Oryctolagus cuniculus: one gene and its partners. Each later gene encodes a partner of the first gene's protein in a complex. Links are inferred from orthologs where the notes say so. Each region holds a gene or a part of one and is shown on either strand. Other genes may lie near its edges.

Region 1 (3,561 bases):
CAGATGACAGCTGTATTGTGTTAAAGGTAAGCTAATGAAGTCTCCCTGGAAACATGGGAATTACAGTTCTATAAGTATTGAGTATGTATAATAGCATTCTCACTTTTTATGTATTTATCATTATAGATGTGTACATGGCATAAAATGTGCTTGCTTTACAGTTTTTAAAAGTTAATTTTCGATGTGTTTTTCAATAGTAAAGCAAAATGATTTGTTTCTTATCACAACTTTTTCATTTTATGATAATTAGAAAACGGAAATCTGAAAGTATATGAAATTCAAGTGAAGTAGAAAATATATTATAATCTATAATTTTCATTATGTTTGAAGTGCAGTTTTGTAGGCACTTTACTAGCTCTACATATGAAGACTATGTCACTCTCAGAGCCAGTGGTGAGACTTAATAGATAGACTTGAAAACTATTATTATTATTATTGTGGTATGTCAGATGCTGTCTAAACTGAGAAAACCTGGAGAAGAGACCAGTCGTAAACGTCCTGAGACCAGGATTCTGGTTTTAGCACTGCCACCACTGACCTGCTTGATGCCCAATTCTTTTGGTGGCTCCAGATTCTTCATTATGAAAATGTGGGCAGTAATTCCTGCTCAGCTATCCCCTAGGGTTATAATAAGGATAACTATAAATTAAATAATTTACATTAAGATGTCTCATAGCTATAAAGAACAAAACAAGTATAAATGCATTGATCTTGTGTCATTTTATGAATGTGAGTTAAGGTAAAAGATAAGAGAGCCTTGAGAAGATCACTTCAGTCTCTGATAGAGTCAGTTCATTTAATGAGATTTAAGGAATTCCCTAAATAAGCAGCTCTGCATTGAGTGTTAACGTCTTTCATACAAGTGAGCCTGGCTTATTTACTTCTTTAGCCCTCCTTTCTTCCTCGTTGGTAAAATGGGTTGGTAGTATCTTCTTTATGATGTACTTGAGGGCAGTACATTCAGTAAAACATGAATTTATGGTGTTGATAATTATTAGTAACTAGGAATGTTAGGACCAAGAGAGTAGGACCTCCCCCTTCAAAGCTAAGATTGAGTTGTAAAACCTGAACTAGCCTAATAGGAAATCAATAGTGAGAAATAAAGTTTAAATTTTGTGGTAGAGATTATGGTGGTAGTTGAGGAAAGCTTCCTGTTGTAAAATTTTAATATCTACTTCCACATTATTCCTTAAAGCCTTAAAAATAGTAAATACATGAGATGTTGTTATTCAGAAACTAATATAGATAAATTACCAGGACTAGTGCCAAGATGTTTGAAGGACCTCAGGAGAGAAATTGGATTATTGGATACCGTAATCACTCCAGCAAGTTCTTTGAAAAACCTAGCAGCTGTGATCAATGCATGTCACTCACATTTTAGAATAACATGTGGAATATGAGAAATGGTAAAAGTACTGAATTGTTAAAGCTGTGTTTTGTTTTTGCAACTATAGATACTAATTCTCAAACTAAAAAAGTCATCCCAACCATATTACTCACTAAGGAAAAGATTCCATACTTTTTGGGCAAAATCATTCCTGGTTCAATTGCTGGATCTCTTTTAGGTAAATAAACACAAAGATGGGGCAGAACCATCAGATATGATCTGTTAGGGATTCTTAAATGTCTTTTAAAAGGTTGTTCGATAAGGTGCAATCTGAACTGATCACAAAAGCCTAACTAAGAGATTCTGTTCATATAGTTGAATGTATGAGTCGTTTAGAGTGCTAGCACAGATGATTAATCTGTACTGAATTTTGTTTTTGCTTTTTGAAAAATCTTTTATTATTGAGAATCAATAGAAGAAATACAAACATGACTCCCAGTGAAAGCCATTGAGTTGATTCAGTCTTAATATACTCTTCAAGATTCTACCTTTACCAGAAAGCAAATAACTGATCTCACTGCCTTTCAGACATTGCCTTGTTTGGTTCGAATGTGCAGTAAGGAGAGATTGCTAGAGGAGAGAGTTGAAGGAGCTGAAACACTCGCCTATCTGATTGAGCCAGATGTTGAGCTGCAGAGAATCGCTAGCATAACTGACCACCTCATTGCCATGCTTGCTGATTATTTCAAGTATCCCAGCTCAGTGAGTGCCATCACTGATATTAAAAGGGTATGTTTGCTTTTCCTTTTCAGTAGTTCAAGAGGATTTTTAATAAGTTTTTCTTACTGCTCACAACTTTGAACCAATTGATCATTACAGCTCAAAAACATTTTAAATAGAGGAGTCATTTATCTTTGGTTACATGGATTACATTGCTTTGTGAGTTTTTTAATTCAAATATGTTTAATATATTTATAGTTGGGAATTTTTTTACTAAGCAGATAAGCAGGAAAGAAGAAAATAGTAAACTTAACTCCCAGCTTAAACCCTCCAAATAGCACAGTCTTTAAGCTGGGTATTGAAATTATATCAACATCATCTAATCCTATTCAAGGTCACAGAATCATTTTTCTGTTGATGTATTCTCATGCTTTATGTTAAGGGTAATCTTTTTTTTTTTTTTTTTTTAATTTGTTAATTTGAAAGACGACTCCCAGCTGCTGGTTCACTCCCCTGTATGTCCACAATAGCCAGGGTTGAATCAGGCCAAGGTCAGGAGCCTGAAACTCAATCCAGGTCTCCCATACCAGTGGCAGAGACTCAATTACTTGAGCCATAAACAGCTGCCTCCCAAGGTGTTCATAAGCAGGAAACTGGAATGGAAAGCAGGCTAGTTCTCTAACTCAGGCACTCCCAAGGTACTTGGGCATCTCAGCCAGTGGCTCAGCATCTGTAATCTTCTGTTACAGGTGGTGACTGAGTGACCTTATTTTACTCTCCATCAAAAAAATTTTTTTTCAATCTATTCCTGTCTTCTTTATTGAGTTTCATAGTATTACCATTTAAACTCTGGGTTAGGACTGTCAATGATTAAATTATGCTTTTTCTTTTAAGATTTATTTATTTATTTGAAAAGAGTTACACACAGAGAGAAGGAGAGGCGGGGGGTGAGGGGGAGGGTCTTCCATCCGCTGGTTCACTCCCCAGTTGGCCGCAACTGCCGGAGCTATGCCAGTCCACAGCCAGGAGCCAGGAGCTTCTTCCGGGTCTCCCACTCAGGTGCAGGGACCCAAGGGCTTGGGCCATCTTCCACTGCTTTACCAGGCATAGCAGAGAGCTGGATAGGGTGTGGAGCACCTGGGACTCCAACTGGTGCCCATTTGGGATGCTGGCACTGCGGTGGCAGCTTTACCTGCTATGCCACAGCATCGGCTCCTAAATTATGGTTTTTGAAAATTTAGCTTTCTTAGAGCAGGTCGATGTTCCTTTCAACTTCTTGCTGCTTAGCCTGTTTGCTTCTGAATTCTGAGTTTCAAAATTCTCATTCTGAAGGCAGTTGTTCATTTGGCGTTTAATGTTGAAGAGAAAACAGACTATTAAGGAAATGTCTCTTCTGTTAGAAGGGACCTAAAAATCACCTTCGTTGATGTTTGCATTAATTGGGTACACTTCTGTGTACTAAAGTTGTGTCTGCACTTCCCCGGATAGTGTTGTTGTTGTAGTAGAGATGATAA
Region 2 (3,406 bases), on another chromosome or scaffold:
CCACGTGCAGAGCCCCCACGTGCACAGCCCCCACATGCACAGAGCCCCCATGTGCACAGCCCCCATGTGCACAGAGCCCCCCGTGCACAGCCCCCATGTGCACAGAGCCCCCACGTGCACAGAGCCCACGTGCACAGAACCCCCACGTGCACAGAGCCCCCATGTGCACAGCCCCCATGTGCACAGAGCCCCCCGTGCACAGCCCCCATGTGCATAGAGCCCCCATGTGCACAGCCCCACGTGCACAGAGCCCCACGTGCAGCCCCCACGTGCACAGAGCCCCATGTGCACAGAGCCCCACGTGCAGAGCCCCCGCCGGCGCCCTGTGGGCTTTGCCAGCAGTGAGGACGGTTTTCCTTTCCAGAGGGCTTTAAGGAAGCAGCGGAGAAATTCCGCGTGGAATCTGGAATCGAGCCGAGCGTGGATCTGGAAACCCTGGACGAGCGGATCAAGATCCGGGAGATGATCCTGAAAGGGCAGATTCAGGAGGCCATCGCGCTCATCAACAGCCTGCACCCCGAGCTCCTGGACACCAACCGGTACCTGTACTTCCACCTGCAGGTGAGCGGGCGCGCGGGCGGGCGGGGGGTGCCTGCTCCCCGTCCCCCCCGGAAGCTGTGTCTCCTGTTGAAATGCTGATGTGAAAACTCGCGTGGGGGACAGGCCTTTCCTTTGAGACGGGTTTTTTTTAAATGGGATCTTTTTTTTTATATACACGTGCTTATTTGAAAGGCTGAGTACAAAGAGGCAGAGAGAGAGAGAGAGGTCTTCCATCCGCTGGTTCACTCCCCAAATGGCCACAACAGCCGGAGCTGGGCTGATCCGAAGCCGGGAGCCAGGGGCTTGTGCAGTCTCCCACGCGGGGCAGGGCCAGCAGTCGGGCATCTGCCACTGCTCCCCAGGCCAGAGCAGGGAGCTGGATCGGAAGTGGAGTGGCCGGGACCCAAGTCAGCACCCATAAGGGACTTCGGCACTGCTGGCGGCGGCTTCGCCCGCTGTTCACTGTTCCGCAGCCGGGCCGAGACGGGCGCCTGACGGGCGCCGAGCCCCGCGGGGTGCTGCTGAGCCCTGGTCTTCACCCGCTGTTCCACAGCCAGGCCGAGACGGGCGCCTGACGGGCACCGAGCCCTGCGGGCCCTGGTCTTCGCCCGCTGTTCCACAGCCGGGCCGAGCCCTGCGGGGTGCTGCTGAGCCCGGCTCTCTTGCCATCACGCAGCAACAGCACCTGATCGAGCTGATCCGCCAGCGCGAGACGGAGGCCGCCCTGGAGTTCGCGCAGACGCAGCTGGCGGAGCAGGGCGAGGAGAGCAGGGAGTGCCTCACGGAGATGGAGCGCACGCTGGCCCTGCTGGCCTTCGACAGCCCCGAGGAGTCGCCCTTCGGGGACCTGCTGCACACGATGCAGAGGCAGAAGGTAGGGCGGGGGGGCGCGGAGGGGAGGGGCCGCCCTAGGAGCCGGGCAGGGCCGCTGGCCGGGACGCGTTGCGGCGGTGAGCCCGCCTGTGTCTGCACCTGCCCTCCCGCTGCAGCCGGGCCGGCGCCGTTCAGGCTCCTGTGCTGCTGCTTGTCCGTCTACGCCTTCTTCACGTGTCGGGGCCTCCCAGAAAGAGGTCGGTGTCTCTGGAACGTCCCTCCCGGCCACTCCGTGTCCCCGCTGGTGCCCCGGCTCCTTTCCTGGGCTCTGTCCTCCCTGTCCTGGCCTGGAATGACCGCCCATCCCCGACGGTCCACCTGACGTGTTTCGCTGAGGCTGACTTCTGTAATATTTGAGAGGCAGAGTGACAGAGAAAGATGGAGGTCTTCCGAGCACCGGGTCACTCCACAGTGGCCACAACGGCCCGGGCTGGGCCCGGCTGAGGCCAGCAGTCTAGAATGCCATCCTGGTCTCCCACGTGGGTGCAGGGCCCGAGCGCTCGGGCCGTCTCCTGCTTTCCCAGGCCACAGCAGGGGGCGGGACTGGGAGTGCAGCAGCCGGACCTCGAAGCAGCACCCACGTGGGATGCCGGCCGGCCCTGCAGGCAAAGGCTTAGCCTGCTGCACCACAGCGCCGGCCCCGGCTGCCCCTCCCGAAGCTCCTGGCACGGACCTGTCATGGCAGGGGCGACGTGACGCCCAGCTGGTGCCCTCACGGTCCCACAAGTGGCTCACGGTCAGGGAGCAAACGCTTGTCGTGGGCGGCGCACAGCCCCTGCGCGCATGTGCGGGCCACACGGCTGTGTTCCTCTTCCAGGTGTGGAGTGAAGTCAACCAGGCGGTGCTCGACTACGAGAATCGGGAGTCGACGCCCAAGCTGGCGAAGCTGCTGAAGCTGCTACTCTGGGCTCAGAATGAGTTGGACCAGAAGAAAGTGAAGTACCCCAAAATGACAGACCTCAGCAAGGGCGTGATCGAGGAGCCCAAGTAGGGCCCGGCCACGCCGCGGGAGCCACCCCTCGGCCCCGTGCTGTTCTCCGACCCAGCGTCTTTCTAAAGGGAAGCGCGGCCCTCGGGGCGGGAGGACGCCACCTGCAGGGCTGCGGAGAGGCGCCGGGCTCGGCCTGCCCTGTGCCGCTTCCCGGGGACCCTCAGCCGACGGCGCTGGGCCCTGCGCGGCCGTGTGCGGGCCTGGAGGCCACCCGGCCCTCGGGGCTCCTGCCTCACCCGGCCCGCGTCTGCAAGTTTTCCTTCCTTTGTTTGTTTCTCTGTTTTTTCATAGGAAAGAATATATAAATTTGTAAATCCTAATTCTAAGGTGACTCCGCGTGAGGGTCTTGAGTTCGGCCCGGGTGTGTGTGAGGGCTGGGCTGTGGTTTCAGTTTTTTAAATATATATATTTTGGTGCTGTGTGTGGTGAGAGGCGTTCCTAGTGGACCGGCGAGCCGTCTCTGCCAGGCAGTTCTGTTGGAAATAAAAGTTTGAATCATCTCACGCAGCCTTTTGTCTTTGGGGCCTCACGGGAGTGCAGAACACTGTGGTGGTGACGGTGGTGTCACCCAGGACCTGCGGGGGGCCCCGGCCCTGACGGGAGCAGCCCAAGTGCCCCCTACTGCAGCACCGGTGCCGGCCTCTCAGCTCCCGCCTCGCTGTCCCCAGCTGGGCAAGTGTCCCCCTCCGGGCACCCACTGGTGCCTGCTCACAGGCGCGAGGTGGGGCTCGTGCAGCCCAGAGCACAGCCCTGTGGACCCCTGGAGTGGACCTCGCTGGAGCAGTGCTGGAAGCCGGTTGTGGGTGGGCCCAGAACCGCCGAGGCACCGTGTGTCTGGCGGAGGTGGCAGCGCCATACCGGGACCGTCCTCGGGTGCTTGCTGCTGGCTGCCCCTGCGTGCCCTGGCGTGCTGGAGAGAAGTGCTGCCGGCAGCCAAGCCGCTCCTGACTGGCGAGGGCCAGCATCCCTCGGGCACTGGTGGTGAGGTGTCTGCTGCCATCT
Region 3 (3,561 bases), on another chromosome or scaffold:
CCGGTTCACGCGCCAAATGCCCACAGTATCTGGGGCTGAGCCAGGCCGAGGGTGAGAGCCAAGAACTCAATCCAGGTGCACCGCGTGGGTGGCGGAAACTCAGGTGTCTGAGCCATCGCCGGCCTTCTCCCAGGGTGTGCAGCAGGAAGCTGGAATCAAAAGCAGAGTCAGGAGCTGAATCCAGGCCCCCGCACCCAGTATGGGATGTGGGTGTCACAAGTGGGGTTTTTTTGTTTGTTTTTTGTTTTTTTGACAGATAGAGTTAGACAGAGAGAGAGACAGAGAGAAAGCTCTTCCTTCCATTGGTTCACCCCCCAAATGGCTGCTACGGCCGGCACGCTGCACCGATCGGAAGCAGGGAGCCAGGTGCTTCCTCCTGGTCTCCCATGCGGGTGCAGGGTCCAAGTGCTTGGGCCATACTGCACTGCACTCCCGGGCCACAGCAGAGAGCTGGACTGGAAGAGGAGCGACCGGGACTAGAACCGGTGCCCATATGGGATGCCAACACCACAGGCGGAGGATAGCCTACTACGCCACAGCGCTGGTCCCTGAAGTTCTTTAAACCCCATAGTTCACTGGAACCATGAAAGTGACTGGTTTCCAGTCTGCTGTGTAAGAGTAAAGTGTTTTACATTCTTTGAACCAACTTTAAATATGTGTGTGTGTGTATAGTTTTTTTATTTTTTGAGAGAACGAGAGAAAGCTTCCATCCCTTGGCTCACTCCCCGAGTGCCTGCAGCAGCTGAGCCCGGGACGGCAGCAGTAGGAGGCAGGAGCACCATCCAAGGCTTCCCAGTGGGTGGCAGGGACCCCGTCACCTGAGTGTATCCCTTGCTGCCCGCCAAGGTCTACATTAGCCAGAAGCTGGAGTCAGGAGTTGGAACCGGGTATCAAACCCAGCGGTCAGAGCTGTGCCGATCTGAAGCCAGGGGCTTCTTCCAGGTCTCCCACGTGGGTGCAGGGGCCCAAGCACTTGAGCCATCTTCTACTGCTTTCCCAGGCCATAGCAGAGAGCTGGATCGTAAGTGGAGCAGTCAAGACTGGAACTGGTGCTGTAACGGCAGCTTTTACCTGCTACGCCACAGTGCCGGCCCCCAGAAAATTTTTAACTGGGAGATAAATTATGTCTTAAAGTGTGTTTATGTGTCCCCTAGAAAGTAAAACCCAAAGCTGTAAGGAATAGTGTGCTATGCCTACGTTTGGGGGGGGAGCGCTTTCCTGGAGCCCGCCTTGTGGGAGGGGTCATGGTCAGGGGTGGGATTGGAAGCTGCAGCTGAGGTTGTGCCAGTCTTGCTCAAAGCAGCGAGACTGACCACCCGAACCACACAGCAACCAAACCCACCGGAGACTACTGCGTCACGGGTGCCGGCTCCTCCGCAGGACAGGGAATGGAGTTCTCCTTGACATATCAGCTCACTCAGCGCCCCTCCCTGACAAGCCGGGTCTGCGGGGGAGGCCAGGCAGCCACTGCCCCTTCCGGGTGAGCCCGGAGCCCGTGGCTTGGGCGACCTCAGCGTCTGCCCGTGGCAGGCAAAGCCTGCCTGGGGGATGGGGTTGGCCACAGCACTCCTGGTGCTGCCGCGGGCTCTCCTTGGCTCTGTCAGTCATCCCCAGTTTGGCTGGAGTCCACTGCTTGAATTTCCAGGGCCTGACCCAAGAAGTACAGTCGTCCACTGGTACCCACGGGCACTGCAGCAGCCGACATCCGCGGATGCTCCAAGCCCTGGTGCCTCTTGCTGTATGCGCCAAGTTCCCTCTAAGATGGCGTGCACCCAGTGCCACGCAGTGCTGTGGGGATAGTTGTATTGTTTAGGAAACAGTCACCAAAAAAAAAAAAATCTGTACTTGTTCAGCAGTGCTGTGATTGTGTTGTGTTTTGGTTAAATACTCTGATCCAAGCTTGGTTCACTGCATGGATGGAGGGACACTGTCTATCCTTCTGGTGACTTCTGTGCATTGTTTAATTGTAGAGTTTGGAGGACCTGGGGTGGGGTCACCTGTTAAAACACTACCTGAAGAGTTTGGAAGAGAGACATCCATGCAGAATCACTGGTCGGGGGCCAGCGCTCTGGCAAAGCGGGTAAAACCGCCGCCTGCAGTGCCGCCATCACATATGGGCACCAGTTCAAGTCCCAGCTGCTCTACTTCCCATCCAGCTCTCTGCTATGCCCCGGGAAAGCAGTAGAAGATGACCCAAGTCCTTGGGCCCCTGCACCCACATGGGAGACCAGGAAGAAGTTCCTGGCTCCTGGCTTCAGCCTGGCCCAGCCCTGGCTATTGTGGCCATTTGGGGAGTGAGCCAGTGGATGGAAGACTCACTCTCTCTCTCTCTCTCTCTCTCTCTCTCTCTCTCTCTGCCTTTGGAATAAAGACACCAGTGAGCCTCTCAGAAGAAAGCAGGGTGCACTCTCAGAGCCCCTGGCGCTGGGTGTCCTCCCAGAGCAGGCCTTGTCAGCCAGCTGAGGCCCGGCGGTGGCGTCCTGTGTCCTGGAAGCCCCGAGCCGGGGGCTGCATGGTGGCAGCGGCTCCCTGGCAGGTCCTGAGCTGTGTTTGTGCAGGATCAGAGAGGCTTCTGTGGGGCCCGGAGGGGAGACATGGCCGCACCTCTGTGGTCCTGGGGCCCTCGCCTGCAGTTCCCGTGCCGGAATCTCGGGCAGCCCACTCCTGAGGAGCTGCAGGGGCGTGGCCAGCCAGGCCCGGGGCTGGTTTGGTTTTTTAGGTGGGTGGCATTGACAAATGCAGAGAAATGGCAGATTTTTTTTTTAATGAGCTTTCTCTTAGGGTGATTTTTCCCCCAAATCGTTCATGCCTGTTCATTAGCACATGAACAAATAGCAAAATAAAATTATGTGTTCTACAAAGCACTTCAAAGGCTAATTAAGCATGGGACAGCTCAGTTATCAGCACTGGGATGCTTCAGGGTCACGGTTTCACGCTGCATACGACAAAATGAACACGGTAGCCCTGGTAGATCTGGCCCCCGGGGTGGGGGTGTCTGCCAGAAGGTGTACCCCCTGGGTTGCGGGGGCGGAGAGCTGAGCCGGGCCCGGCAGCAGTGTGCTGCTCTCCAGAGAGCTGGACCGGAGGGGCCACAGGGCTGAGCTGAGCCGGGCCGGGGAGCAGTGGGCTGCTCTGGCCGGGGGGAGACGGCCGTGCACGTTGTGAGCTGGGTTTCCCGCACAGGCGGTGAGTGGGCGCGGCCCGCGTGTCTGAGCGCTGGGAAGCCGCACCGGCAGGGTCGGTTCCCTGGTGGGAAGGGTGAGAGGCTCAGGCAACCCCTGTCCTCATGTCTGGCTTCCACCGTAGGAGTATCCGACCCTCACGACCTTCTTTGAAGGAGAAATAATCAGCAAAAAGCACCCTTTCCTAACTCGCAAGTGGGATGCGGACGAAGATGTGGACCGGAAACACTGGGTGAGTCGCGCTCCGGCGTCCCCGGCACCGCCGGCACACCCTGAGAACTCCAGACTCCCCATTGTGTGGCTGCCAAGGACAGAGCTCCCTCCACTCCAGTGGCCACGAGGTCCCAGAACAGCTGAGCCCGCTGCCCCGGGTCCTGCC

What was found. Proteins that work in one complex are often made in the same cells at the same time.
Region 2: the proteins of ARMC8 (region 1) and GID8 are in contact, whole or in part, in a cryo-EM structure (PDB 7NSC), measured with the Homo sapiens proteins. The link is inferred for Oryctolagus cuniculus from reciprocal best matches to the Homo sapiens genes ARMC8 and GID8. Residues at the interface, in NP_001350870.1 of Homo sapiens: Asn45, Val47, Ile48, Gly49, Asn50, Val85, Ser89, Met92, Arg127, Arg130, Arg161, Tyr162, Tyr166, Leu200, Ser201, Tyr202; in NP_060366.1 of Homo sapiens: Ile83, Ala84, Asn87, His90, Pro91, Glu92, Leu94, Asp95, Thr96, Tyr101, Tyr183, Glu184, Asn185.
Region 3: the proteins of ARMC8 (region 1) and glucose-induced degradation protein 4 homolog are in contact, whole or in part, in a cryo-EM structure (PDB 7NSC), measured with the Homo sapiens proteins. The link is inferred for Oryctolagus cuniculus from reciprocal best matches to the Homo sapiens genes ARMC8 and GID4. Residues at the interface, in NP_001350870.1 of Homo sapiens: Glu309, Pro310, Asp311, Val312, Asn371, Glu373, Arg406, His409, Arg413, Ser414, Val415, Gln416, Arg419, Thr420, Gln423, Asp424, Val444, Ser448, Cys451, Asn452, Leu455, Phe457, Ala483, Val486, Asn487, Trp490, Met493, Asn494, Phe497, Gln498; in NP_076957.3 of Homo sapiens: Leu104, Ile105, Pro106, Pro107, Pro108, Pro109, Ile110, Gln114, Pro115, Gly116, Val117, Ala118, Thr119, Gly125, Gln146, His147, Tyr154, Cys156, Tyr158, Phe174, Glu176, Phe239, Val241, Pro242, His244, His292, Ser293, Ala294, Pro295, Ile296.

What each region holds. Positions count from the first base shown.
Region 1 is NC_091435.1:143,472,177-143,475,737, reverse strand, and holds part of ARMC8 (armadillo repeat-containing protein 8), read left to right. Parts: coding exon 1-26; intron 27-1,915; coding exon 1,916-2,116; intron 2,117-3,561. UniProt on the Homo sapiens protein: Component of the CTLH E3 ubiquitin-protein ligase complex that selectively accepts ubiquitin from UBE2H and mediates ubiquitination and subsequent proteasomal degradation of the transcription factor HBP1.
Region 2 is NC_091442.1:703,275-706,680, reverse strand, and holds the end of GID8 (glucose-induced degradation protein 8 homolog), read left to right. Parts: intron 1-364; coding exon 365-561; intron 562-1,216; coding exon 1,217-1,414; intron 1,415-2,230; coding exon 2,231-2,404; 3' UTR 2,405-2,904; downstream 2,905-3,406. UniProt on the Homo sapiens protein: Core component of the CTLH E3 ubiquitin-protein ligase complex that selectively accepts ubiquitin from UBE2H and mediates ubiquitination and subsequent proteasomal degradation of the transcription factor HBP1.
Region 3 is NC_091448.1:66,470,271-66,473,831, reverse strand, and holds part of glucose-induced degradation protein 4 homolog, read left to right. Parts: intron 1-3,306; coding exon 3,307-3,414; intron 3,415-3,561.